7 linked regions of the Cricetulus griseus genome follow. The protein of the gene in region 1 interacts with the protein of each later gene in a pairwise test. Links are inferred from orthologs where the notes say so. Each region holds a gene or a part of one and is shown in the gene's direction. Other genes may lie near its edges. The genes, in order: Sdcbp, Nkapd1, Dmc1, Reep6, Hnrnpc, Trim54 and Hsbp1.

Region 1 (4,010 bases):
CCATAACATTTTCAAAATTGAGATGTGAAAACTAACATTTTCAATGTCAAATGTCCTAAGGTCAGTCGGCTCCCAGAAGTATTGAAAGATTCAATGAATTAGTTCAAAGCCATCTTGTCATTAATGCAAAGCATGGTGGACTGTAAAGAAAAATGTAATGATAACTGAAAAGTATGGTGGATTGTAAAGAAAAATGTAGTAACTCCAAAGCATAGTGGACTGTAAAGAAATGTATTGATGGGCTGGAGAAATGGCTCAGCCATTAAAGGCTAGGCTCACAACCAAAAATATAAGAAATGTATTGATAATTCCACAAAGTAGTGTGTTCTGTTTTCTCAACTTAACAGAAGGGTATCTTGATTAGCAAGTCATTCAAATTTTGAGACTAAGCAAGGCTACTGTCCCATGTATAGTGTAAGAGCCATAATAAATGATTAGAAACAGCACTTACTGTAACAAAATACCCATGTGGCAATTTGTGGTATGTCATGTCTATTGAAGTATGAAATTAAAGTTTCAGTCTAACCCAGCACTTACTCTTACAGGCCCTTTGAGCGGACAATTACTATGCATAAGGACAGCAGTGGACATGTTGGTTTTATCTTTAAAAGTGGAAAAATCACATCCATAGTGAAAGATAGTTCTGCTGCCAGAAATGGCCTTCTCACTGATCATCACATCTGTGAGATAAACGGGCAGAACGTCATTGGCTTGAAGGTAAGAAGCACACTGGACCCTAGTTTTGGAGCCATTTTATTTTAGATAACATTGAGGTGGTGTGACTTTCCTGATGACCCTCAAACACTGAAACTTGGGAGATAAATGTAGGAGCTATGGTCTTAGGCCATCACAGTAACTCTGGGATGTTACCTGGAATTATCTTTTCCATACCAAGGTCACTAAACTATGATTCTATGATCTCTCTCTAGCTAGAATTCTGTGGAGAAATGGGCAGGGACATTTTTAGACATTGTGAATGGATGAATGTCCCAATATTTTTCAGTTCAGAAATACAGGAAAGGAATAAGTCTTGGTATATATTAATACTTTGATTTTTATAGATTTTGATCTATAAAGTTTTTATGGGCATAGCCCTGGCTGCCCAGGAACTCACTATGTAGGCCATGCTGTTCTCTAACTCACATGTACCTGCTTCTGCAGTGCTGGGTCTAAGGCACGTGAAACCCTGCTCGGCATATAAATCTTTGAATTGAGACTACCTTAAGATCTCAAGGTTTTAAGTAAGACTTTAACTCATAAATTCTGGAATACAGTTGACTGTGTTTGGGGCAAGCTCTCCATCTTCAGGTAAGGGAAGGATTGTGTTCAGTGCCTTCAACTTTGCTACCAGGTTGAAACACACATGTCTGTAAGATTAAAACTAAAATTCAGACATACCAGGGATTGGGACTCCAGAGATACTAGCATGACAACAGCAAATATAGTGTGACTCTTACCTAACAATTACAGTTTTATGTTTATTAAATAAAGCTTCAGTGAAATTAAATTCTGTTATGTTTCACTAGGATTCTCAGATTGCAGACATACTGTCAACAGCTGGGACTGTAGTTACCATTACAATCATGCCTGCTTTTATCTTTGAACATATTATTAAACGGTAAGTGGACAGCTCTACTTATGCTTGCTGTCTCCTGACATAAATGTAAATACTTCTTGAAGCCTGCAGTTCTGCTTATTAGAAATCAGTGGTTATGATGGGGGTTTCTTGCCTGTGAGATATTGAGTTGCTGTTGCTATTTGCAGTATGTCTCAGGAGGTAGAGGGGTGCATGGTGCTTGCTTTCTGTCCCCCAGAACCAAGAAGTATAAAGTCCATGCAAGCTGACAAGGGCCAGCAAGGGGTGATTCTGACTGTCTTTGTAGTTGGTACTGTTTCTTGGAAACCCTTCATTCAGAATCCTGATAGAAAGTGAGATTTCAAAGATACATAAACCTAACCTTTGTAATGGAATCTTTGTAATTTTGGCTTCTGGGTAGAATGCAGCTAAGTACCCTCGGAAGGGAAAATGTTGTGAGCATTTGACTGTTTTATAGTCTTTTTTTCTTTTTTTAACCATTGGTAGGTTCCTTCTCCACCTTTTCTTCTAACTCCATAGCCTTGCTGTTTTATTCTAATTAAACTGCCAGTCTTAAGGTAAATGACTTGCACCTTCTTTAGCATGTCGACCCTGGTGCAGATGTTTAGTTTTCCTGGACAGTCTTAGACAACTCAGTTATCAGTTCTGTAGCTCTGAGCTCATTTAAAGACCTTTAGACAATAGTGCTACACTGGAATTGGGGTTGTCTTGGGTTAAAATGGCATCTTTGAAAATAAGATATGAGTTATATGATGAGTTGGCTCTCTTGTAGGATGGCACCAAGCATTATGAAAAGCCTGATGGATCACACCATTCCCGAGGTTTAGAAACTTTGAACAACGCATTACAGCTGAATGTTTCCAGTTTTCTTCTTCGGCAACTTCTATATTTTGCATATGAAGCTTTCCGGGAGCCAGGGAGAATATGCTGCATGGGGACCTGTCTATCTTCCATCATGGCTGGGAACCTCACTCTATCTGATGTCTTCTGCAGATTTTAAGATAGTTGTAGCCTTATCCTGGTTTTACAGATGTGAAACTTACTGACTTTCCTAGAATCGTTTCTTTACTGGAAACCTGATGTTTTTATAAGCCATTGTGGTTAGGATGACTGGTGTAGGCTTAGCTGTGTGATAAGTGGTCACCTTTGTCCTAGATGAAGCACAGTGCTAGTCGTGTGCTTCACTTCTGTGGCACACCTGGATTTTTAGAACATCAGCATAGTACATTGAGGATGATTGCCTTTGGTAGTTACTTTTAAGTTTTCTCTGTATGAGTGTGTAAAATTCCAGTTAATCAACTCTGGTTTCATTCCACAAAAGCATTATATATTGTGTGTACTTTGCAAAAGACTGTCATGATTGTCACTAAATTTTAACTACCTTCACTTAATATGCTTCAACTGTCGCCTTAACTACAGCAAGCATTTAGAATAAAAGCCAAAATAGAATTATTGCTGCCTTCTGAGACCTGAGTGTTAGCTCTCTATTAAGCTGGTACCTGCCAGCCCCAAGCAGCTCACTGCTAAGCAGAGCTGCCTAGTTGTATGGAGATTTTCTAGTCACTGCATAAAGGAAACGCCTAAAAGTTGCCGTATCGCTTTCTGAAAAATAAATCGCTATATATTTCATGCAAACATTGTTATAGAAACAGAACAAATTTGGGGGTCGCCTTTTCACTTGTAGATTATGTGGGCAATATTAATTTGGCATTTGAATCCTAATATTATGTAATTTAGTCACTTTGGGGTCATCTTAGAATGTTTCCCTAGCCATTTTAATTTGTTCTATTTTCTGATTCCGTCCTCTAAACAAAAATGACAATGACACTTTATCTTAATTTTTTTTTCTTCTTGGTTTATGCCTATCCTAGTAATATCCTGATACTATCCTATTAAATGTATAAAAATGTTAACTTTTAGTCTGTCTGTTATTCCTTCATTCTTCTCACATCTGGGGTCTCTGAGAACAGTCCTGGAGCTAACACTTGTCTGAGATCCTTAGATGGCCAGGCCTGTACACTTGTAGGTGGGGAGAACCTGGTGAGGCTGCTGCATCTCTAGTGAAAGCAGAGAGCACCCACATGTATTCAATGACACTTAAAACTGACTCTGAAGTTTCTGCCCATGAAAGAAGCACACTTTGGCCCTTAAATCAGAGCTAACGAAACATGCTCTGCCCCTGACCAACTCAGCACAAAAAACAACCAATCCCCGAGCATGAAATCCAAACAATCTTTAACCTTGCCCAAGCTCAGGGATTGGTCTGCTTTGGGAATTTTTCCTCTTAACTACACTGTAACAATGCTCTCAAGAGTACAGAACATTTGTAATTATGTGGTTGCTGTTCAGAGATTAAATGAGAAAATCATTGCTGTTTCTATATAGCTTCCCATGTTGGAAACTTACATTTCCC
Region 2 (3,500 bases), on another chromosome or scaffold:
TCTTATTAATTCGGTCAGTCATACTGTTTTCTTTAGTCTTTCTATTAGACTTTTTTGGTTTTTCGAGACAGGTTTTCTCTGTGTAGCTTTGGAGCCTATCTTGGCACTCCCTCTGGAGACCAGGCTGGCCTTGAACTCACAGAGATCTTCCTGCCTCTGCCTCCTTCAGCAAATACTACCAGTGTGTGCCACCACAACCGGCATTAGACCTTTTTTTAAAAAAGTATTTATTTTATTCATTATGTGTGTCTGTGTCTGTTGGTGTCTGCAGGGGTCAGAAGAGATCATTAGATGCCCTGAAGTTGGAGTTAATAGGCAGTTGTGAGCTCCTGACATGGTTCTGGGATTTGAATTAGCATCCTCTGCAAGACCAACAAGTATTCTTAACCACTGAGCCAACTCTTCTTACTAAAAGCCACATTTACTCACTCTCTTCGTCCAAGTCAATGGGCTTTCATAGTTCCTTTGTAATAATTTGGGTGTGACTAGGTAATCACACCCAAATTAATCCCAGTACTTAGGAGGCAGAAGCAGGTGGATCTCTGAGTTCAAGGCCAACCTGGTTTACAAAATAAGTTCCATATATATTCAGGCTTGACTGCTCGATGGGAGGTGTAGGATGCATGAATAATTAGGAATATCTCTAGAGCCTCATGTGCCCTTAAGCACAGGAAGGAGGTATGTGAGATGGGTCATAACCTGATTTTTAAAGCTACCTAGAGAAATCATTAGAAGAAAAAGGAATTTCAAGGGAATGTGTCCATGGAGTATGTAGACTTTGATGTATTACTGGCTGAGTATGACTGATATCAATGTTATGTGGTGCAAAGGTAGTGTCAGCATGTTCCATGAGTTTTGTTTATAATGCTCTATAAAGTGGCATCACAGATTGCTTTTAATTCTAAACGTTTGTCTTTTTTTCATTTATAGTCGGATGAGAAGTGATGGTTTTGATGAAGAAAGTCACAGAGACTACTGGAGGACAAAGAATGAAATTTCTGGGGCCCTAGATGATGATTTTCTTAAGGCTAAATCCTGGAACAAGAAGTTATATGATTATGAATCCAACATGCCAGACAGGTTTGTGACTATTTCTTATTACCCCTAGTGATATTTGGCCCAAGAATATGTATTTCTTGATATTATTGTCCTAGGGTTGGAGTAATGGCTTAGTGGTTAAGAACACTTGATGCTCTTGCAGGGGACCCATGTTTTGTTCCCAGTACCTACAAGGCAACTTATAAGTGTCCGTAACTCCAATTTCAGGGGATTTGACACCCTCTTCTGAGCTCTTTGGGCATCATACATGCATGTGATGCACATATATACAGGCAGACAAGACAGTCTTACACATAAGTATAAATAATTCTTCAAAACAGATTGACCCCATAAACATTTGTGAGTGTGCATAGCAGCAGTATTTATAATGACTAAGAAGTGAAAATCCAAATGGCTGTGACTGATGAATGCATAAACAGAATGTAGGCTTTCCATATAGTGGAATAGAACTTAGTGGTAAAAGGGATCTGTACTAAGTCTATATGCATAACCTTGAAAACTTTACAAAAGCCATACTCTTAAGATTTTGTTATGTGGTATGTCCAGAATGGATAATCCATAGAGACAGAAAGATTAATGGTTGCCTTGGGCCATAGGCTCTGCACTTTAAAAGGACAACTCTCTTGTCATATGAATCACTTCTCAGTAACTATCTTTAGAAAGTCCCAGTGTAGATAACATTATAAAGTAGTTTGGGAAAAGGACTTCACCGCTGAGGAGAGTTCTTTAGTGTCTCTTAAAGAACAGATACAACCTTTCAATGAACAACATCCTGTGTCTGAGATGATAGTATAGAACATAGAGCAGTTACTGAGGTGTGTTTTTAGTTTGCCCCCTTTTCCTTTGTTCTCTGTATGTGTGTATTCATGCAGTCCAAAATCTAATTGTGTTTTAATTTCCAAAAATGATATGCATTGCTTCATAAAAATATATGTATTATGATGTCATTTTACAGATGGGGTCACAGTGGATATAAAGAGTTGTATCCTGAAGAGTTTGAAACAGACAGGTAGGTAAATACACTTACTAGAGAAACAAAACCAAACACCTAAGATGAATGCAAAATTACGCCATAAGTAGAGTTCCTAATATTTACAAAAGATTTATTTGTCATTGAAAATATAACTAGAACCTGGAATGGTAGTATATGGCTGTAGTCCCAGCTGCTCAGGAGCCTGAGGCAGGAGGATTGCTTGAGTCCGGGAGTTTGAAGCCAGCCTGGGACATAATGAAATCTTGTTGGGAAGCAATTCTTATTTACCTTTCCTGATTGAAGTTTGGTATTCTGCAAGCCTGAGAGCTTTAGAAACTAATTGTTCACTATCATCTGTAGTGAACATGTTTAAAGGTACTTGAAACCTTGGATATTTTATATCGTCTTGTCTGTCTAGCTCCCATATTCTATTCCTTTCTTATACACACAATACCTTTTAAAATCTTTTTTTTTTTTTTTTCACTTTAAGGACATATCTTCATGCTTTTCTCTGCCACATCCTAATTGTTAGTTAGCATCATGCTTGTGTTTTAGGGTCATTGTTAAATAAGATAAGCTATACCAGACAGTGGATCTAATAACCCAGATGGCTAGTAAATGACCAAAGGGTTGGTAACTAGACACAGGAATGACTCAGGTCCTAGGTGGGACAGTAGTACTGTGAGGAATTTGTATGACATGCAATTAAAATCTTACAAATTGTTTCTGGAATTTACCATAGGTGACAGGAATCAGATAATGAAACTATGGATAAGGGAGCACAATGGTATTTAGTATTTCATATGTAACTCAGCATAGCAGATCAGGAGGTGTATTTTTTTTTTGGAGGGGGGTGGGAGGGGACGACAGGATTTTCTATAGCTTAAGGTGGCCTTGAACTCCTGGCCCTACTGCCCCTACCTTCTAAACATTGGAATTACAGGTTTATACCAGTATGGTTAGGTCAAATTAGGATTTTAAAGATGAGGAAATGAAACATTTTTGAGAGTAATAAAATAGAAACCTCACCAGTACTATTTGTTTTTTTTGTTTTTGGTTTTTTTTTGTTTTTTTGAGACAGTCTCTTTTTGTAGTCCTGGGGGCCTAGAACTTGCTATGTAGAGCAGGCTGTCCTCAAACTTGGAAGATCTACTTTTTGAGTACTGGGATTATAACTGTGTACCACCATACCGAGCTTAAAATTCTGATTTAAAGTTCAGATGTTAATAATTTAATGCAGAATAGTAAATATAAATATACATTTTCTTTCTTCCATAAAAGTTCTGTCTTTACTTTTCCTTAGTAGTGACCAGCAAGATATTACCAATGGGGAAAAAACATCTTCCCAGGTGAAAGCATCTGCCCAGGAATCCCGAAAACATAAGAAGTCAAAGAAATCCCATAAAAAGAAGCAGAAAAAACGGTCCCACAAAAAACAGAAAAAAAACAAAAAGGAAGCTGTGGACAT
Region 3 (3,500 bases), about 220 Mb from region 1:
CTCAGCTCCTCTCTCCTTGACTCAGCATCTCCCTTTGCCCAAGGGACTCCCGGGTTCTGGTCTCAAGCCCAAACTCTCTCCTCAGAGACGTGTTCCACTACTGTCCTCCCCCCATCTCAGAGGCCTGGAGGCCCCATCCCGTCCCACCCCGCAGCATTCACTAGAGCTCTCGCCCCGCCCTTCACGTTGTGCTACATTTGCCCCGCCCACATCCCTCGCCCCGCCCATATTGGGGGCGTGCTCTAGACATCCTCGTTTGGCGCCAAATACATAGAGATTCGACGACTGGGTTGTCGGCCTCGGTGTTCGGGCTCCGAAATAGAACCTCGGCCCGGACTGGACCGGAAAGCCCGAGTGGGAATCGTAAGGGATTCACCTTGAAAATCCCGGGGAGACCGTGGGTTCGAGTGGGGGGTGAGTGGCGAAAAGAAGAAGCACGGGAAAATCTGAGGAAATCTCTTAAGCGTTGAGAAAGCGCGTCCTCTCCTTGCCCTTTCTGTGGTAATTTTTGGTTATTATTGGACTTGGCCAGGTGACTGTCACCTTTCACTCCGGCCCTGAGGCATTCCCTGCCTGCTGTAAATCAGTCCGACCTGAGTCTTGAAGGCCTCCTCGGGGTTACCAGGGAACTAGGGCCTGGAAAATGTAAGCCTCAGGGGCCTGACTGAACCGCCTGCTGAGAGGCCACGGGCTTCTGACCCCTTCGCTTTCCCCTGCCACACCCCGCCTGTCCCCTGAAACCTTTCCCTTGCCACTCCCCCCAGTCTCCTGACGCCCCTTCCCGTGCCACTCCCCCCCCCAGTCCCCTGAAACCCTCCTCCCTGCTGCTCCCCGACAGTCCCCCGAAACCTAGGCTAAGTGCCCTACTTCAGATCCCAGGGTCGGGGTGGGCACATCGGTGATCCCGGCAGAGGAAGGCAGAACTGAATTCCCAACCAGTGGGTCTAGCAGACCCTGTAGCTAAAGGAGAGAGAGGAATTTGCTGATTTGTTTTTTTCAGGAAGGATAGTCTGTGGAATTTGGGCTAACCGCTCATATTGTGGAGAGCGGGCATGGTGGTGCCTGTAGTCCCAGAACTGGGGAGATGGATGGGAGAGGAGAGTCAAAAGTTCCAAGCCAGCTTGGATGGCCTATGTAAAACACGTACACATACATAAAAAAAATCTATCTCAGGAGGCAGAGGCTCCAGGGCTTCAACACCTGACTTTGATATTAAACGAGGAAACAATAAAGCAAGAACAAGATTATTCATTTTATTGCAATGTACACCATCGTGTCTGTTGCTTCCCTGGTTTAAAAAAAAAAAACAAAACGAAATTGTCACTGGATATTGTTCCAGCTAGTTTTATGTCAATTTGATACCAGCTAGAGTCATCTGAAGGGAGAGAACCTCAATTGAGAAAATGTTCCTGCAAGATCCAGCTGTAGGGCATTTTCTCATTTTCTCAATCTCATTGATGATTGAGGGCCCAGCCGACTGTGGGTGGTGCTATCCCTGGACTGGTGGGTGCTAGATTCTATAAAACAGTCTGAGCAAGCCATGATGAGCAAGTCTGTAAGCAGCATCCCTCCATGGCCTCTGCATCAGCTCCTGCCTCCAACTTCATAGCCTGTTTGAGTTCCTGTCCTGACTTCCTTCAATGATGGACTACAAGTTCCTTCCCAACTTGATTTTTGGTCGTGGTGTTTCATAGCAGAAATAAAAACCCTAATTTAGACAGGTATTACCATATTTTTACAAAATTATGAAACTAGTAAATACTATGGAATATATAGTTTTGTGAAGCAAAAGATACATACATTTACCTGTGTAGCAATTCACAACCAGAAATCAAGAAGGTATTTATCAGGTATGAGAAAAAGAAAGTCCCCCCACCCCCCACCCCGTTTGTTTTGTTTTTTTTGTTTTTTGTTTTTTGTTTTTTTTTTTTTATTTTTCGAGACAGGGTTTCTCTGTATTGCTTTGGAGGTTGTCCTGGAACTCTCACTATAGACCAGGCTGGCCTTGAACTCACAGACATCACCTGCCTCTGCCTCCCAAGTGCTGGAATTAAAAGCGGACCTCACTAACACCTGATGAAAATCCTTTTACTTGAAAGATACAAGGAAGAATGATACAAGGGTTTTTTTTTTTTTTTTTGATTGTTTGTTTTTGAGGGGTGTTTGAGATGGGATTTCCTTCTGTAGCTTTGGAGTTTGTCCTGTAACTCTCTCTGTAGGCAGATCTCTGAGTTCAAGGCCAGCCAGGTCTACAGACGAGTTCCAGGACATCCAGTGCTACACAGAGAAACCCTGTCTCAAAACAATGACAACAGAAAAAAAAAGGGGGGGGGAAGGGAGGAAGGAAGGGGAAAAAAGCAAGCAAGCTATGGAGAACAAGTCTGTAAGCAGTATTTTTCCACAACCTGTGCTTCAGATCTTGCCTCCAGGTCACTGCCTTGAGTTCCTCCTTTGGCTTCCCTCAGTGATGAACTGTGACTAGGGTGTGTAAACCCTTTCTTCCCCAAGTTACTTTTGGTCAATGTTTTATCACAGCAATAAAAAGAAAATTAGGAAAACTACTTGTTTGTTTGTTTGTTTGTTTTGTTTTTCGAGACAGGGTTTCTCTGTAGCTTTGGAGGCTGTCCTGGCACTCACTCTGTAGACCAGGCTGGCCTCGAACTCACAGAGATACGCCTGCCTCTGCCTCCCGAGTGCTGGGATTAAAAGCGTGTGCCACCACTACCACCTGACTTTAAATAATATTTCTTATTTTCCAGAATTGATTATTTTTCTGCCATTTTCCTTTCAACATGAAAGAGGATCAAATTGTGCAGGAAGAATCAGGATTCCAAGATGAGGAGGTATAATAAGAATGTTGGAAGTTATGATGATGTTCAGTTTTCCATGAAAATCAAATTTCTTGTTTAGGAACTGAAAGTAGAAATAAGACATACATATAAATGTGTAACAATTTCTTTGGCAAAGGGTGCTAAGTTTAGCCACTTAGCAACTAGTATGAAAGTTTTTGTTGTTTGTTTTGCAATAGAAGAGATCCAACCCAATACTTCTTTCTGATAGGTAAATGCTCTTCCACTGGTTATATCTCCAGCCCCAAATGAAAGCAGATTAATAACAACTTACTGCTTCCTGTGCACACTGGTTCTGAAAAGGATATCAAGATTTGTATTAAATAAAATAGGTCAGATGGGGGCTGGAAAGATGGCTCAGCAGTTAGTTCCTCTTCCAGAGGAACAGGGTTTAATTCTCAGCACCCATATTGGTTTGTTTTCTAAATATGTAACAACTTGTTTGAAAAAAGTGATTGATCCTACTTCAGTGTTTAGAGAAATGGACCTGAAGTATTATGGAATGACTAGTGAATGAGTATTAGTCACTCCCCAAAATGTGAAACATTTATTTAGATATGAAGATATAAGATACATTCTTTCTATTTCATTTAGGAATCTTTTTTTCAAGACATTGACCTGTTACAGAAACATGGAATTGTGAGTAATTTT
Region 4 (4,246 bases), on another chromosome or scaffold:
TTACTTAGTCTTATTTAAGAAAATATCAAAGCACGTGTATTCCCCTCTTAAATTTCCCAAATGACTTAGTCTCTCCCTCTCTATTAATTTATGGCCCCCCCTTGTTTTTTTGGTTTTTCAAGACAGGGTTTCTCTGTGTAGCTTTGGAGCCTATCCTGGAACTAGCTCTGGAGACCAGGCTGGCCTTGAACTCACAGAGATCCGCCTGCCTCTGCCTCCGGAGTGCTGAGATTAAAGGCATGTGCCACCAACGCCCGACAATTTACCCCCCTTTTCCTTTAAGTTTATTTTGGAAGCTTAACCACTTCCACTTTGAGCCATAAAGAAGGGCTGACAGATTTGGTTTTTCGAGGCAGGGTTTCTCTGTATTGTTTTGGAGGCTGTCCTGGAACTCGCTCTGTAGACCAGGCTGGCCTCGAACTCACAGAGATCTGCCTGCCTTTGCCTCTGGAGTTTAAAGGCGTGAGCCACCACCACCCAGCTCCATGTAAAACTTGTATCCGTTTCTAGGACCCTGAAAATCTGTAGCCTTGCACCTGGCTAGAGCCAGAGAATTGCTGATTGTGTGTGTGTAGAAACGGGAGGGTGGCAGGACAGGATAGCAGAACAATAAAGAACACATGAAGAACATGTGTGTCAGGTGGTGTGTAACATCTTTTACCCCTCCTTCGTTCCTGAGAAGCATTTCACCTTTGGAACCTTGGGTAGGGGCTGGAGCAGATCTCCTAGACCTTATAACTTCTGACACTCTTCCTGGGTCAGGACAGCCCTGGCCCCATCCCCATGTCCACAACTTCCACTACCTCCTAGTGTCTGTCTCCTCGTTTTACATTTGTATATTCTCTCTCCCTTCTGTGTCTCTCCTCTGTCTTTCCTTTCTCTCTGTGTGTCTGTATGTATGCGCACCACGGCATATATGGAGGTCAAAGGACAGCTACTGGGGCTGGAGAGATGGCTCAGTGGTTAAGAGCAAAGGCCGCTCTTGCAGAGGATCAGGGTTCAATTCCCAGCATCTACATGGCAGCTCACAACTACCTAAGACAAATTCCAAGTAAATCCTGTGCCCTCTTCGGACCCCCGAGGGCTCCTGCGTGCCTGTGGTGCATCATGGGTAAGCAAGCAGGAGAGACACTAATGACACACGTTAGTCAGAAGTAACAAGTAAGTCTTTTAAAAAGAAACCATGGAGTCAGTTTTCTCCTTCCACTATGTGGATGGTGGCGAGAGCTCAGCCAGACTGAGCAACCATCTTTTTTTTTTTTTTAAAGATCTTATTTATTATGTATACAACATTCTGCTTCCATATGTATCTGCACACCAGAAGAGGGCACCAGATCTCATAAGGGATAGTTGTGAACCACCATGTGGTTGCTGGGAATTGAACTCAGGACCTCTGGAAGAACAGTCAGTGCTCTTAACCTCTGAGCCATCTCTCCAGCCCCTGAGCAACCATCTTTACCCTCTGAGCCATCTCACTGTCTTCTGAGATAGGGTCTCACACAGCCAAAAATGACCTTGAAATCCTGATCCTCCTGCCACCAATGACAGGTGTGCGTTTTCACTATCGCTTTAAGAGCACTGGGATGGAACCCAGGACTGCCTGCTTGCTGAACAAGTGCTCCACCCACTGAGCCTGAGCCCCTGTCCACCTCCCTCTTGGTCCAACATCACCAAATCTATTGCCCTGCTGGCCTCCAGCAGTCAACCTGCTCCTCACTTAGCTACAACTAACAACCAAGAAAGAGCTCATGTGTTCTCTTCCACCCCAGGGCCTTTGCAAGTGCTGTTCTGCCAGCCCAAACCAGCTCAAGTCCCCTCTCCTTACACCTCCAGCTTGGTCTGATGAGCCACACTCCTGGCTAACCTGGCTTGACCTCTCTGTCCATCTACCCCATCCATAGCCTCTCATCTCTTGTTCCTTCTCTTTACCCCATCTATTTGACTTCCTTCTTGTCAAGATTTGGCCTCTGAAAGGCACTTGGTCCCTGTGGTGGTTTGAATGAGACTGGTCCCACAGGCTCTTATATTTGAATGCTCAGTCCCCAGTTGGTTTGGGGAAGTGTGGCCTTGTTGGAGAAGGTGTGTCACTGAGAGGTTCTCTCTGCCTCGTCCTTGTGGGTGAGGGTGAAAGTTCTCAGCCACTGCCCCAGTGTGCCAGTCTGCCTGTCTGCTGCCATACTCCTCGACATGGTTGGTGGTCATGGAATCACCCTCTGACGCTGTAAGCTCCAATAAACTCTTCTTTCTGTAGGTTGCCTTGGTCATGGCGTTTTTGTGTCAGCAATAGGACAGTTACTAAGACAGTTCCTGACACACAAAGTGAGCACCTCTTCAGTGTATCTTGTAAGCCTCTATGGCTTGCACACTCACAAATCCATACCATTCTTTGACTACTGTTTAGGGGCTGTTCCCTGTGAGGACTGATCTAATGTGGATGTTTCCAAATAACACAAAGCACCATGGGCTCCACTCCTGATTCGGCTGCACAGTCACTGATTCAGGTTCTCACCTTGGGCATTGTTTTCTAGTCTGATAAAATGGACCGATTCTCTTCCCTACGTCGTATGGCTTGGAGCAGGGAAGGACCAGTGTGTGAGAACCTCTTTCCTTGAGAAGCAGGGCAGGGGCCGTCAGTATGTGGCCCCCCAAGTGCCATGTTGTGGTAGGTGTCATGCTCATACATGACGTCCCCAAGCAGGCCCCACTTGACACAATAAGAATGACTGAAGGTGGCTGGTTGGCCTTAGGAGATGGCAGCCATGGGCTCACTCACCTTGGGCTCTTTCTTCAGGCGCAGACGGTGGCCCCAGTGGGGGGTCAGGGACTGCTGAGCCACACCCCGGTGCCGTAGATGGAAATAGTGGTCGTCGGGAAAGATCTGGGAATGTGATGGACAGGGGCATCGCTGGGACCTGGCTCCTTTGATACAGTCCCAAGGATGGAGTCCAGTTTCTGCGGCATTATATACCTCAACCAGGTGCCCAGTTGAGGGTCGCAGAATCCCAAATTGAATATGGAGGGGGCACGTAGACACGTTCGTTCTTCATATCCGGGGAGGTCTTGGGGACCCCCTCCCATCTGTCCGGGTCTGAGGTCGTCCAGGTCCCCACCCATGGCCCATCCATCCAGGTCCCACCCACCCACCTGTCCCAGGTTGATGAAGCCAAATTTACGTGCCAGGCGCTCAGCCTCCTGGTAACCTTTGGTCACCCGCACGGCCCAGCTGCTGACATAGATGGGGGCCCGGGGTGAGGCCCACCCCACAGCCAGGAGGGCCAAAGCCAAAGCCAGACCCAGCCACAGCGCAGTCGGGGAGGGCCGCATAGCGGGGGGCGGGGCGGGGGGCGGGGCCTCAGGAAGCCACCCCATCCCGGACACCATAGCAACCCCGAAGCTTTCAACTCCCAAGGGGCCTTGCGGTTCCCTCGTCCCCCATCCATGAGGGGTGGGACTATCCCACATGAAGAGACATCCACACGGACCTAAGCCTTCGGGAGCCTCAGTTTCTCCACTTGTACAAGTGCAACACCTTCTGGTCCTTAGGAGCAGGTTCAGGATCACAGGGATACCCCCAACCATTTATTTGGTCCCGCCCACTTTCTTCCACGCCCCTCCTTAGAGAATCAGCCCTGCCTCTCCACATCTTCCAACCAGCATCGTTTGCTTCCAGTGTAGTCCCGCCTCCTTTATGATCAACTCCGCCTTCTCTAGTCTGTCCAATCAGCGCTGGTCTTAACCTGGCCCCACCCACCTGTTTCTCAGCTAGTCCCACCCACCCTCATCGCTCTCCGTCAATAATCTACGGCTTGTCCAATCAGTACCGAGTCACTTCCTCGTGACCAATCAACGCACCGGCAGCCTGGCGCCCCGCCCCCTCCAGCCTCCCTGTGGCCCGGCGGGCCTTAGCCCTGGCCAGAGGGCGATGCGGCGGGGGAGACGGGGCAGGCCCCACCTCCTTTGTCCGCCTTGCCCTCCCATTGGCCAGAGCCAGGGGTCGGGGGCGGAGCCAGGGCCGGGGGCCGAAAGCAGCGTGTCGGGGGCGGGGCCTGGCCGCGCGCGGGAGGCGAAGTCTGTGCGCCGTAGGCTGGGCCGGTGCGCGAGGCTGCGGGTGTGCTTGAGTGGCCTGCCGCGGGCCCACCGCCATGGACGGTCTACGCCAGCGCTTCGAGCGTTTCCTAGAGCAGAAGAACGTAGCCACCGAAGCGCTCGGGGCTCTCGAAGCCAGGACCGGTGTAGAGAAGCGGTA
Region 5 (3,500 bases), on another chromosome or scaffold:
TACTGAGATTGGAATGTGGGTCCTCTAGGGGTGTTCTCATTCCCTGAGCCATCTTCAACACCATAGCATGGAATTTTCATGAATGTAGAGGCCTTAAGTACCAGCTAGGGACAGACTTGGGTGAATTTCTACCGTTTTCTCCAGGATAGACAGCCAGAACTAAATAGACACCACCACCACCCCACTCCATCTCCCAGGCAAACACAAAACAGTTCAGAAACTCCAAGTGCCCCCTAGTCATTCTTCATTCCTTACTGTTTTCTTTTTTTGAGACAGGGTTTCTCTGTGTAGCTTTGTAAGTATTGACCTTCCTCACAGCAATCAGATACAAATATTTAAGAAAAAAAAACCCTAGTATTGATATTTTTGAGCATTTTTGCGTTTGTGCATGTTTGTGTGTGAATATTTGTATGTGGTTTTATTTATTGACCTTCTTAATCTTTCTGTGTTTTACCATTCTGCTTTGTGATCATAGGAAATGTATGTGAAGTTATACCAAGCATATTGAATAATGTGAGAATTCTAGGTGAACATTTTAGAATGAATTTCATGTTCTTTGAATATTAACTCTGAGCCATAAGTGGATGGCCATATGGATGGAACAAATTAGAAATGTACTTTCCAACAGAACTTGTGCGGTGATGTAATATTGATCTGAACAGTTATTATAATATGACTAATGAATAGTGGAGGTAGGAAGTGTGTACAAAATGAACTTTTTCTTTGTGGATTTGTGTAATGTTCCAAATAAAGGAGGTAAGTAACTTAAACCTACAAGTCAGGGTCTCACTGTGTAGTTCTGACTCAGTAAGTAGAGCAAGGTTGGTCTTGAAAGAGATCTATCTGCCTCTGCCAGTGTTAATGGCATGCTACACCACATTTTTTTTTTATTTATTTTATTTTTTTATTTTTTTGGAATAGGTCTTTTTTTTTTAAGATTTTATTTATTTGTTATGTATACAACATTCTGCTTCCATGTATATCTGCACACCAGAAGAGGGCACCAGATCTCATAACAGATGGTTGTGAGCCCCCATGTGGTTGCTGGGAATTGAATTCAGGACCTCTGGAAGAGCATCTGGTACTCTTAACTGTTGAGCCAGTTTCTCTAGCCCCACATTTATTTTTTAATTCAGAGTGTTACGACATAAATTTCAGGGATTTTCAGGCAGCCTAAAACCCAAAAGATGTAGCCATAGTAAACTCCTTGTCCCACAGAAATTGAAAGTAAATGGGAGTATTGTTTAAGATGGTGGAGCTGGAAAAGGCAAGGCAGTTCATTATAAATAACATTCTGTTGAATATTCCTCATAGAGAAACAAGCCACTGTTGTAAACCTTGCTTCCTTTCTTGCTTTCTTTTTTTGCAGATTTTTTTATTTGAATTAGAAACAAGATCCCAGTTCCTGCTCCCTTCCCCCTCCCCTACCACCCTCCCCAACTAAAACCCTACCTATCACATATCCTTTCTGCTCCTCCTGGATGGTGAGGCCATCCATAGGGTGTCATCAGAGTCTACCCTATCCTTTGAGATAGGGCCTAGGCCTATCTCACACATAGACCCCCGTGTGTCTATGCTCAAAGAGTATCCCTCTATGTGGATTGGGCTACCAAAGTCCACACCTATGCTAGGAATAAGTACTGAACTACTACAGGAGGTCCTGTAGATTTCCGAGGTTTCCTCACTGAAACCCATGTTCCTGGGGTCTGGACCAGTCCCATGCTGGTATTCCAGCTATCAGTCTGGGGAACAAGAGCTTCCCCATGTTCAGGTCAGCTGTTTCTGTGGGTTTCACCAGCTTGGTGTGGACCCCTTTGCCCATCACTCATTCTTTACTGCAACTGGATTCCAGATCAGTTCAGTGATTAGTTGTGGGTGTCTGCTTCTACTTCCATCAGCTGCTGGAAGAGCGCTATCAGTCAGTCATCAATCTCATTATCAGGGGAGGGCATTTAAGGTATAGCCTCCTCTGTTGCTTAGATTGTTAGCTGGTGTCATCTTTGTAGATCTCCAGACATTTCCTTAATTCCTGATTTTGATTTCTTTATTGTAAATCTTTAAATTTTTTTTTCCCCATTAGGATGTACAGTTACCCAGCACGTGTTCCTCCTCCTCCTCCTATTGCTCGAGCTGTGGTGCCTTCTAAACGCCAGCGTGTTTCTGGAAACACCTCTCGAAGGGGCAAAAGTGGATTTAATTCAAAGAGTGGACAGCGGGGATCATCATCCAAGTCTGGAAAGTGTAAGTGTTATTTATCTTTTGTGAGGGTGTGTTTTTGTGCAGTGCATCCTGCCTCCAAATGTTATGTTTTATTATTACTATTATTTTTACATATGTGTATGTGGGGGAGTTGTTGATGTCAGAGAAGATGTTAATTCCCATGGAGCTGGAGTTGCAGTTTTGAGACATGGGTGCAAAAATGACACTTAGCTATTTTTCTGCCCTGTGTTTATTTTAAATTGGAGATACTCATAGTGTGTGTGTGTGTGTACTTAAACAGTGAGATGAGGGAGGCAAGGGGATGCTCAGTTGGTAAAGGTCCTGCAAGGAGCGAGGACATAAGTTTGGATCCCAAGTGGAGCACACCTTACTTACCTTGAATTCTAACTCTGGGGAGGCCGAGAGGGGAACAACCCTGGACCTAACCATGCAAAATCAGTGAGTTCTTGTTTCATGGAGAGATTCTCAAAAAGAATGATGGGACCAGCAAAGTGATAGCTTTATTCACCATATTAGGGAGGCAGGAACAGGCACACATACCCTGTTCTCTCCCAGCACTTGGGAGGCAAAGTCAGGTGGATCTCCTAGTTGGAGGATGGCATTGGGTACTGAGAAACCTTCTGCCAAAAAATAAACCAAGCTGGGCATGGTGGCATTTGCCTAAACCCAGTACTCAGGAGGCAGAGGAGTAGATCTCTGTGAGTTCAAGGCCAGCCCGATCTATAGAGGGAGCTCCAGGACAGGCTCCAAAGGATTATAGGAAAGAAAAAAGTCTCCATTACACGAGTATGTGTGTGTGCGTGTATCTCAAAGAATTTCCCCCTGCGGCAGTGCTGAGAGTCAATTCAAAAGCCTAGCCCCTGGAAGGAGGGCATTTTCAGCAACTGGTAAATTATGTTTTATTCTAGTCTAACTTTTTGTTTGTTACAGTGAAAGGAGATGACCTTCAGGCCATTAAGAAGGAGCTGACTCAGATAAAACAAAAAGTGGATTCTCTTCTGGAAAGCCTAGAAAAAATTGAAAAGGAACAGAGCAAACAAGCAGGTAATGGTCTTGTGCTTGTTTCAAGTAAAATTGGGTTATTTTAAGATATTTGCATATTGGGGGTGTTGGGGGGTTAAATTTGTTTGGAAAACTATATTCTTTGATTAATGAGAACTCTATATCCTGTGGGCAACACTTGCCCCTGGACAGACTTGTCCTTCTCATCCCCAGTAGAGATGAAGAATGAAAAGTCTGAAGAAGAACAGAGCAGTGCCTCTGTGAAAAAAGATGAGACC
Region 6 (4,204 bases), on another chromosome or scaffold:
GTTGTGTGGGGGATAGAGAAAAAGATCAATGATTATTGCTCAGGCCTGGGATGAGGCTGCCATGGTCGGTAGAGTTGATCACAATGGAGCCAGGGGTCAAAGATGCCCAGTGGTGGTGCCTCTGTCAGTGTCCTGAGACTGCTCTGCAGACTGGTTCACTGGTGTTCCAGACAACTGCAGCATTCGGAATGTTTCCAGCCACATCTGTTCTCACACTTTTCCTTTTTTATATGTGTGTGTGTGTGTGTGTGTGTGTGTGTGTGTGTGTGTGTGTGTGTGTGTCTGCATGTGTGTGTCTGTGTAAATGGGTCTGCACATCTGTCTGTGCATGCCTGTGGAAGCCAGAAGAGGGCGCTGAGTCACTCGGAGTTGTGGTAAAGGGTGGTTGTGAGTGTTGGGGATCTGAACTCCACTCCTCATGAGACTGTCTTAACCATTGAGACATCTCCAGTCCACTACTGTCTCAGATTCTAAGCAAATTTAGCGTCCCTGAAATGGCTTCAGTGGTAGACCAGAATCACACACTCTCATGCCCTGATCATAAGGCAGGCCTGGGCTGGCACAGCAGCCATCTCTTGCCTCTTCAGCTGCTCTCCTAGGATGATATAACTGGCCATCCAAGGGCGATGTAGTTCAGTAAGCACAGTGCTTCTCTAGTACACAAAAGACCCCGAGTTGACGCCCAGAACCTCGTAAACTGGGAATAATGGTGTTCTCCCCTAATCCTAGCACTTTGGATGTAGAGTCAAGAGGATCAGGAGTTCAAGGTCATCCTTGATGACAGTGAATTCAAGGTTAACCTAATCTACTGAGAGCCTGTCTTTAATAAGGGAGAGGGAAGTTTGTGGCTAGATTGCTCAATAGGTAAAGGCATTGGTCACCAATTCTGATGACCTCAGTTTGATTTCTGTAACCCCCACACTGAAGAAAAAGAAGTGACTCCTGTCAGTGACCTGTGACCTCCACATATGCTCCATGTCATACCTACCCCTCCCTAAAGTAAATAAATGTAGTTGTTTTTTTAAGGCTGAACAAGAACAAATATGGACCAGACATATGGGACAAGAAGTTCTCTTTTGTAGGGTCTGGAGTTCCACTTCTGAATCCTGAGTCTCCAGGAGGAGGGTCAGGATCAATGCTCAGTATAAAAGGGAGAGACAGAAGTCTGTAGATCCGTCCAGACCATCCTTCCCACCCTGAGCCATGTGTGCTGTCTCTCCCATGTGCTAGTTTCTGTTAGGAAGAAGGTCTCAAGCCAGAACACGGAGAGCAGAGGTTGCAGGAACCTTCCCAGTGACAAGTGAGCCCCACACTGACCCACCACCCACTGAAAGCAGTGACACCCCTGCTGCTCTTCTTGCTCAAGAAAGCCACCAGCTGAGTGAGTCAGGGTCACTCAGTCCGGGACAGCTGTGGCTCGCCTTACATGAGCTAAATTGGGAACTGGAATGTCACACAAATGCCCCTTGTCTCCCTACCCCCACAGTAATATTAACCTCTCTAGCGAGCAAGGGACAAAGAGTACTGCCTGTAGAGTGAGCACGAGGGTGGTTTGGGGGAGCAAGAGAATTTCTCAGGGGGAGCTAAAGGGACAAGTTTGTGGAGACGGCTCTGAACAGGGAGTGCAGACAGAAGCGTCTGGAAATAGCCAGGGTGAGAGGGGCCGTTAGAGGGAGAGAAACAGGAAACATCACCCTTTCAAGAGGGAGCAAGATCAGGGATCCTAAGAATCCACAGACAGCCTAAAGTTTACAAGAAGTGTGCACAGGCAGCGAGAGAAGGCCAGAAACAGGGCCAAGGCAGGCACTAGAGCGCCAAGGGATGAACTTCACCGTGGGTTTCAAGCCGCTGCTAGGGGATGCACACAACATGGACAACCTGGAGAAGCAGCTCATCTGCCCCATCTGCCTGGAGATGTTCTCCAAGCCCGTGGTGATCCTGCCCTGCCAGCACAACCTGTGCCGCAAGTGTGCCAATGACGTCTTCCAGGTGGGCTTGGGGACAGCTGGGTCAGGTCTAGGAAGGGACTGGGTGGCAGGTCCCACAGGCGGGAGATGGTGACGCTGCCCCAACTCAGTGGCAGGAGAGTTGGAGGCTGTGGGATCCCAGAGGAAGCACGAGTCAGCAGTTGCCCAGAGCCTGGCAAGCACAGCCTGTGTGCACAGCGTCAGAAGGAGGACCCCAGGGAGACTGGCAGAAACTGGCAAGGAGGGTGGTCTTGCCTGGACTTTGTGGGAGCCTTACTAGATTTCATTTACTTTGAGGCTTTGTGGTTTTATTTATTTACTTTCTTTACACACCATAGATGAGATCAATGAAATATGAGGTATTAAAAAAATAATAGAGCCAGCAAGACAGTGAAGACACTTGCTACCAAAGCTGACAACCTGAACTTGATCCCCAAAACATAAAATTAAACCCTAGAATTAAAAATTTGTGACAAACCAGTGAGAAAGCCTATGATGCCAGCCGAGCTGTGTATATTTGAGATAGAGCTCCTCTCTCCATGAGGGAGCTGCTTAGACACAGTGGGCCAGGGAAGCAGAAGTTTTCCCCAGTTTCACACCTGTGAGCCCTCCTGACCTGGTGAAGAGGCCCATGGACCAACTGATACTCAGGTGATTTATGGACAGAGAGAAGGCAGAAGCAGAATTGTACTTCCCAGAAATGCCTGTGTAGCTGTGGTCATGAGGCCGGGCATAGCTAAGTTAAGTCACTGATATCATTCTGTCCACACATTTCAAAAATAAAAACAAAAAAGCTGGGCATGGTGATGCATGGCTGCAATCCCAGCCCTTGGGAGGTGGCAGCCGGAGAATGAGTTTAAGGCCAGCTTGGGCTATGTGAGACCCTGTCTAACCAACTAAATAAATGCATACATCATAATTCTTTATAAATTCATAGGCTTGCTTTCCTACCCTGTATCATTCATAGAGGTTCCAGTAGGCTGTAAACTAGATCAGAGGTCAGGGAGAGCGAAGGGACAGGACTCACGTGTACAGACATGAGACCTTGCAGATGAAGTAAAAACTGCAAGATCCGGGTGGCTTGGTGCAAATCTGTGACAGAAGCATCAGGAATAAGATTCCAGCCAGGAGCCAGGCTGTGTGACACATGCCTGTGGTTGAAACACCTAAGAGGACCACCACAACTAGAGACTAGCCTGTTATACATAACTCCCACAAACTAGAGGCTAGCCTGGTGTATGTAACCACCACAAACTAGAGACTAGTCTGGTCTATGTAACCCCCACAAACTAGTGGCTAGCCTGGTCTACATAACCACCACAAATAGAAGGTAGCTTGGTCTATGTAACCACCACAAACTAGAGGCTAGCCTGGTCTATGGAACAATTATACCAGTATATCCACTGGCTATGTATAGTAAGACCAAGTCTCAAAAATTAAATAAAAAAGTGGTAGGGCTGGAGAGATGGCTCAGTGGTTAAGAACTCTTGTTGCTCTCCCAAACAACTCAGTTTCCGTTCCCAGCATCCACATGATAGCTTACAACTGTCTAACTCCAGTTCCAGGGGACCTGATGCTCCCTTCTGAACCCTCCCCTCATGGGCATTATGCATGCAGGCAAAATACATACACATAAAATAAATCTCAAAAAGATTATTCCTGCTTTTCACAGACTATGAGGGAATGAGTTGAGCAGACATTTTCACACCTTTTTCCCTCCTCTCTTTGGTGCTATGGTTAATCCAGGGCATTGTGTGTGTTAAACATGCATTCTACCATTGCTCTACACCACAAGCCCCAACACAAGCTATTTTTTTAAAGATTTATTATGTATACACACACCAGAAGAGGGAACCAGATTTCATTATAGATGGCTGTGAGCCACCATGTGGTTGCTGGGAATTGAACTCAGGACCTCTGGAAGAGCAGCCAGTACTCCTAACCTCTGAGCCATCTCTCCAGCCCCAGCACAAGCTATTTTTAAAAAAATATTTCTTATTAGTGTGTGTGTGTATGTGTGTGTGTGTGTGCGCACAGAAGCCAGAAAAGGGTGTCAGATCCCCTGGAGCTGGAGCTGCAGTGTTTGTGATGTGGCAGCTGGGAACCAAACTCTGATGCTCTGAAAGAGCAGCATGTGTTCCAAATGGCCAGGCTGTCTCTCCAGTCTTGACACAAGTGGGTCTTAACTTCACTGAGAACATAGCCTTTTAGGTTCCTTGGCATAGCAGGCTTTCTTG
Region 7 (4,283 bases), on another chromosome or scaffold:
TCTCAGCACATCTCTCTATGGAACCTGGGAAGTAGTATTTGAACCAGGGCCCTCCCAACTCAGAGCTGCCTGAGACACAAACGTCCCGGTTCACCCCTGACACTGCCCCCTCTTGTACACAAATGGAGACCTGCACCACTTAGCATTAGGCAGCCATATGGTTGAAAGAAGCCGGGTTAGTTTCCATCACAGTGTTAGACCCCCGGAAAACTCAGGTATCCGGGGTCCCAGGCCACGACCACGATCACCCCAATCACCAGGCGGATTCGAGAGCTTGCTGCAAACTGCATGAGGCTTTATTGTTTTAACGAGCTAACCCCGTGTTAGCTCCAGTCTTTCACCCACCCGCCATGGCGGATGGCTAGCAAAGACAGCTCCTAGGGGCTCCCGAGAGATCTTGTAAGGCAGCGTAAGGGGAGTGTCTAGGGGTACGCACAGGCTCAGGATTGGTGTGCCCTCCAGGCTTGGAGGGCTTGCCCTGTGTTGATTGGCCAACTGGTTGTTATGGCCCATAGGCCCTCCCAGGATGGTTGCTATGCTTTGTACGTCATTGCTGTGTGCTTGCCCGTAAAGTACACCCAGGGTCGTAAAGCACAGCACCACCAGCTAACTTCTGATTGGTTCCTTGTCACAAGGCAGGCGTCTGACCTCTAGTGACTAAGACAAGGTCATAGCGAGCACATATTACTGTCATGGCTGCCCAAATGGGGGGGGGGGGGGCGGTCCCTTCAACAGTAATACCTGGCAAACTGGGTATACTGTGTTATGTGCCAATCCAGGATGGGGGTGGTAGCCTGAGCTTTCTTGTTTTGTTTTGTTTCTACAGTGCTGGTCTCTTTGTGCTAGGCAAGTGTTTTGCCACTGAATACATTCCATTCCACCCTCTTTCTGCTTGTTAGGTCTTTGCTTTGTTTTGTTTTGTTTCTGAGACAGAGTCTCAGTAAGTTTTCTCAGTCACACCTTGAACTCAGGATCCCTCCCAAGTAAGTAGGATATCGGGCCTCACATACTTGTTGGCCCATGTCTTCAAGAATAGGTCTTGGTGAAGAGCAGACATCCAGTTAGTGCACTCTTACCAACTCTAAGGGATTTTTTAAAATTACATTTATTTATTTTGTAAATTATATGTATATGTGTATGTCACAGGACATGTGTGCTGGGCAGAGGTCAATTTGTGAAAGCTGGGGCTCTTCTTCCAACATGCAAGATCGAACTCCAGAATCAGATTTGGTGGCAAGCGCCTTCACCCGCAAGGCCTGACTACATCCACAGGGAAAAAAAAAAAAAAAAACGTTAATCCCCGTTAACCTTTGCCCACTTCCGGTTTTCTCTCCGCTTCCGCTCCCTGCCGCATTCAGGGTAGAGCTGGGGCGGGGATGGAGGCAGAGCTAAAACCGGGGAGGCGGAGCCTGTCCTCAGGACGCTCTGAAGTTTCCCAGGTCCTTCCGGTACGTGACGGGAACTACAACGCCCACAATGCCTCGCGGTCCCGTGACTGTGTTGTCGCGAGAACTGGTGGCTTGGGGGGCGTCTGCGCCAAGAAACCGAAGTGTAGGTGACGGTTCCGAGACATCGCCGCCAAGCTGGGCACCGGGGAGATGGCCGAGACGGACCCCAAGACCATGCAGGACATCACCTTGGTGGTAAGCGTCAGGCTCACCTGGGTTCCGACACTCCGCGGCCGCTCTCGGCCCTGGCGTGGGGTGTGGCCAGCGGCCTCGGCCCGCGCACCTGCGGGGCTCGCCCTCCTGCGGCCCCGGCACGGACCCTCACGACCTGACCCGCGGGAATACCAAACCCGACCTGGCAGGGCCTCGCTAAAGGTCTCGCCCACCTGCCGGGACTCCCCTACCCCCTGGCCTCCCCTTCCTCCCAGGAAAATGGTCTCGGAATAAGCTGGAATCGGCGGACTTGTTCTGGTTTCTCGTAGGTGGAGACGCTCTTGCAGCAGATGCAAGACAAGTTTCAGATCATGTCGGATCAGATCATTGGAAGGAATATCCTTTTGCTTCGGAGGCAGCTTCTTAATGGTGGGGATAAGCGGGAGGTTTGCAAACCGACTTCAGGTAGTCATTATTTTTAATTATGTATATTATGGGTGCGCGTGAGTGAGTGAAGAGACTAAAGGCATTGGATCCCCTGTAGCTGGAGTTACAGGTGGTTGTGAGCTGCCGGGTGTGGGTACTGGGAACCACACTCAGGCCCTCTGCAAGAGCCTCAAATGCTCATAACCCTGAGCTATCTCTCCAGCCGCACTTGGAAATTTCTTCACTGATCTTGGCTATACTGTGTTCCTGAGGACTGCGCCAAGAGCCAGAGACGTGGCCAAGCTACCCAAGTTCCCTGTTGGGGGTCCTCCAGAACACCAGTAAAGGAGCTAGGCTATGTCGGCTGGGAGTGCTCACTGAGCACTCTTCCTCTCTTTACCCATGGGATAGAGTCCTCTGGGATTAATGAATGAGGAAACCGGGGTTTAGGAAAGTAACTTACCTGGGTCCCCTGTACCTCTCAGACCGCCAGGCGGTCACTGTAGCCAGAAGAAAGGGAAAGCAGCTGCTGCTTAAGCCAGGTTTCAGGGGCCTGGAGGATGGGGACAGAGTGGGGTATTGGTGTGTGGGCTCCTTAACTGTGCCACTCGATGACATGAGCAGTCGCATTGACGATCTGGAGAAAAATATCGCTGACCTCATGACCCAGGCTGGTGTGGAAGAACTGGAAGGGGAAAACAAGATTGCTACTGCACAGAAAAGTTGAAGGTAAGGGAGGGCACCAGTTTGCTGACGCAAAGCACACAAAGTGGCCATCAGTGTAAGGTTGATGTCGTTGATAGATTTCACCTGTGTCTTTTCCCAGCCAGTATCTCTGCACCCCACCTAGAAAGTCCATGTTTTGAAACTGCTCATGCCAAACTAATTCCTTAGGTAGAATTTACATTTCCAAGTTTCATTACTTAAAACTGAATCACTGCTGGGCATGTCCAGGCTATACACATAATAATGTTCACACTTAAAGAAGAGTGAAATTGCTGATAAAAGACAGAAGTCATTTAAATATTTATATATGAGTGTTTTGCTTGCATATTCACCTCATGCAAACCTAATGCTATGGGAGACCAAAAGAAAGCATCATATCCCTTGGGACTGGAGTTACAGACAAGACCTGCCACCTTGCGGGTACTCGGAATCAAACCTAGGTCCTTTCCGAGAAGAAAAAGTGCTCTTAACCGCTGAGCCATCTATAGTCCTTTGATGTTTTAATTGTAAGTTATGACGGTCCTCACTCATATCCTGGGCCCTGCATAGGACACACCTGGAACTTGGACATGTCTCTGGCTGGTGAGCTGGCAACTGAAGACCACCAGGTGATGTCATTTCTGGGCATGTGTTTTGGTGCCCTACCCTGGCCACTGGAAGATTATTTCATTGTTTTCTTTTACAAACAGCAGAGAATTCAGGTCACTTACATAAATATCTATTATAAATTCTAGAGACGTTTGTGACTTTTATCATGGACTCGACTCCTTTACTCTAGACTGAGTTAAATTTCCACTGAATCATTTCAGATATCAGATGACAAGCACAAAACCATTTAATGTAGTGAATTTCTTTGTAGCTTCACTTGTGTTTGTGGAGGAAGGGCCCTCAGTTTTTATTTTTTTTATTTTGACATGCTATGAAACCCTGGCTGCCTGGCCTGGAACTTACTGTATAGACCAGGATGGCCTCAGGTTCATAGAGACCCACCTGCTTCTGCCTCTGCCTCCTAGATTCTGGGATTAAAGGTTATTTCTGGGCTTGGCCTTGAACCAGCTTTTCAGTGACTGAAATAGGTTGTTCTGAATTCCAGGAGACTAGATGGGGGTTGGGAGGGTCAAGATACATAAACAATACATTGGGTTGTTTAACTATGAGATGCGCATCAGTGCTTGGTATGTGCTGTGTCGTCTTCAGTCCTATTTAGAGAAGAGCTGCAAAGTGTCGAGTGGATCTTGGAAGCTCTAGGGGATTGTGCTATGTTGTGACAGAAAACCCCCATGAGTCAAGAACTGAAAGATTGTATGATTGAAGATGTTCAACTGACAGGGAAACACAAAGACAGGAATGAAAATAGGAAGTGGATTCAAAGAATTTTGAATAAAGATGTCCAAATAAGGGTCTGGAGAGATGGCTCAGGTGTTAAAAGCAACGTATGCCCTGTGGAAGACCCAAGTTCAGTTCCCAGCAGTCACATGAGACCTCACTCACCACTGTCTGCAATTCCACCTCCAGAGGATCCAACACCCT

What was found.
Region 2: the proteins of Sdcbp (region 1) and Nkapd1 interact in binary tests that used the Homo sapiens proteins (3 or more experiments, as listed by UniProt). The two-hybrid records come from large-scale screens. The link is inferred for Cricetulus griseus from reciprocal best matches to the Homo sapiens genes SDCBP and NKAPD1.
Region 3: the proteins of Sdcbp (region 1) and Dmc1 interact in binary tests that used the Homo sapiens proteins (3 or more experiments, as listed by UniProt). The two-hybrid records come from large-scale screens. The link is inferred for Cricetulus griseus from reciprocal best matches to the Homo sapiens genes SDCBP and DMC1.
Region 4: the proteins of Sdcbp (region 1) and Reep6 interact in binary tests that used the Homo sapiens proteins (3 or more experiments, as listed by UniProt). The two-hybrid records come from large-scale screens. The link is inferred for Cricetulus griseus from reciprocal best matches to the Homo sapiens genes SDCBP and REEP6.
Region 5: the proteins of Sdcbp (region 1) and Hnrnpc interact in binary tests that used the Homo sapiens proteins (3 or more experiments, as listed by UniProt). The two-hybrid records come from large-scale screens. The link is inferred for Cricetulus griseus from reciprocal best matches to the Homo sapiens genes SDCBP and HNRNPC.
Region 6: the proteins of Sdcbp (region 1) and Trim54 interact in binary tests that used the Homo sapiens proteins (3 or more experiments, as listed by UniProt). The two-hybrid records come from large-scale screens. The link is inferred for Cricetulus griseus from reciprocal best matches to the Homo sapiens genes SDCBP and TRIM54.
Region 7: the proteins of Sdcbp (region 1) and Hsbp1 interact in binary tests that used the Homo sapiens proteins (3 or more experiments, as listed by UniProt). The two-hybrid records come from large-scale screens. The link is inferred for Cricetulus griseus from reciprocal best matches to the Homo sapiens genes SDCBP and HSBP1.

Annotation. Positions count from the first base shown.
Region 1 is NC_048595.1:154,128,407-154,132,416, reverse strand, and holds the end of Sdcbp (syntenin-1), read left to right. Parts: intron 1-545; coding exon 546-717; intron 718-1,526; coding exon 1,527-1,618; intron 1,619-2,369; coding exon 2,370-2,424; 3' UTR 2,425-3,510; downstream 3,511-4,010. UniProt on the Homo sapiens protein: Multifunctional adapter protein involved in diverse array of functions including trafficking of transmembrane proteins, neuro and immunomodulation, exosome biogenesis, and tumorigenesis.
Region 2 is NC_048597.1:162,375,026-162,378,525, reverse strand, and holds part of Nkapd1 (uncharacterized protein NKAPD1), read left to right. Parts: intron 1-930; coding exon 931-1,080; intron 1,081-2,014; coding exon 2,015-2,068; intron 2,069-3,335; coding exon 3,336-3,500.
Region 3 is NC_048595.1:376,764,621-376,768,120, reverse strand, and holds part of Dmc1 (meiotic recombination protein DMC1/LIM15 homolog), read left to right. Parts: intron 1-246; coding exon 247-363; intron 364-3,443; coding exon 3,444-3,488; intron 3,489-3,500. UniProt on the Homo sapiens protein: Participates in meiotic recombination, specifically in homologous strand assimilation, which is required for the resolution of meiotic double-strand breaks.
Region 4 is NC_048598.1:101,122,340-101,126,585, forward strand, and holds the start of Reep6 (receptor expression-enhancing protein 6), read left to right. Parts: upstream 1-1,446; 5' UTR 1,447-2,773; coding exon of another isoform or gene 2,774-2,878; 5' UTR 2,879-3,144; coding exon of another isoform or gene 3,145-3,324; 5' UTR 3,325-4,142; coding exon 4,143-4,246. Other genes in the region: Pcsk4 (proprotein convertase subtilisin/kexin type 4), read right to left, coding at 2,774-2,878, 3,145-3,324. UniProt on the Homo sapiens protein: Required for correct function and survival of retinal photoreceptors. Required for retinal development.
Region 5 is NW_023276807.1:207,149,203-207,152,702, reverse strand, and holds part of Hnrnpc (heterogeneous nuclear ribonucleoproteins C1/C2), read left to right. Parts: intron 1-2,080; coding exon 2,081-2,241; intron 2,242-3,150; coding exon 3,151-3,264; intron 3,265-3,414; coding exon 3,415-3,500. UniProt on the Homo sapiens protein: Binds pre-mRNA and nucleates the assembly of 40S hnRNP particles. Interacts with poly-U tracts in the 3'-UTR or 5'-UTR of mRNA and modulates the stability and the level of translation of bound mRNA molecules. Single HNRNPC tetramers bind 230-240 nucleotides.
Region 6 is NC_048600.1:13,268,719-13,272,922, reverse strand, and holds the start of Trim54 (tripartite motif-containing protein 54), read left to right. Parts: upstream 1-1,404; 5' UTR 1,405-1,821; coding exon 1,822-1,989; intron 1,990-4,204. UniProt on the Homo sapiens protein: May bind and stabilize microtubules during myotubes formation.
Region 7 is NC_048596.1:195,967,547-195,971,829, forward strand, and holds the start of Hsbp1 (heat shock factor-binding protein 1), read left to right. Parts: upstream 1-1,483; 5' UTR 1,484-1,598; coding exon 1,599-1,643; intron 1,644-1,930; coding exon 1,931-1,997; intron 1,998-2,635; coding exon 2,636-2,754; 3' UTR 2,755-2,756; intron 2,757-4,283. UniProt on the Homo sapiens protein: Negative regulator of the heat shock response. Negatively affects HSF1 DNA-binding activity. May have a role in the suppression of the activation of the stress response during the aging process.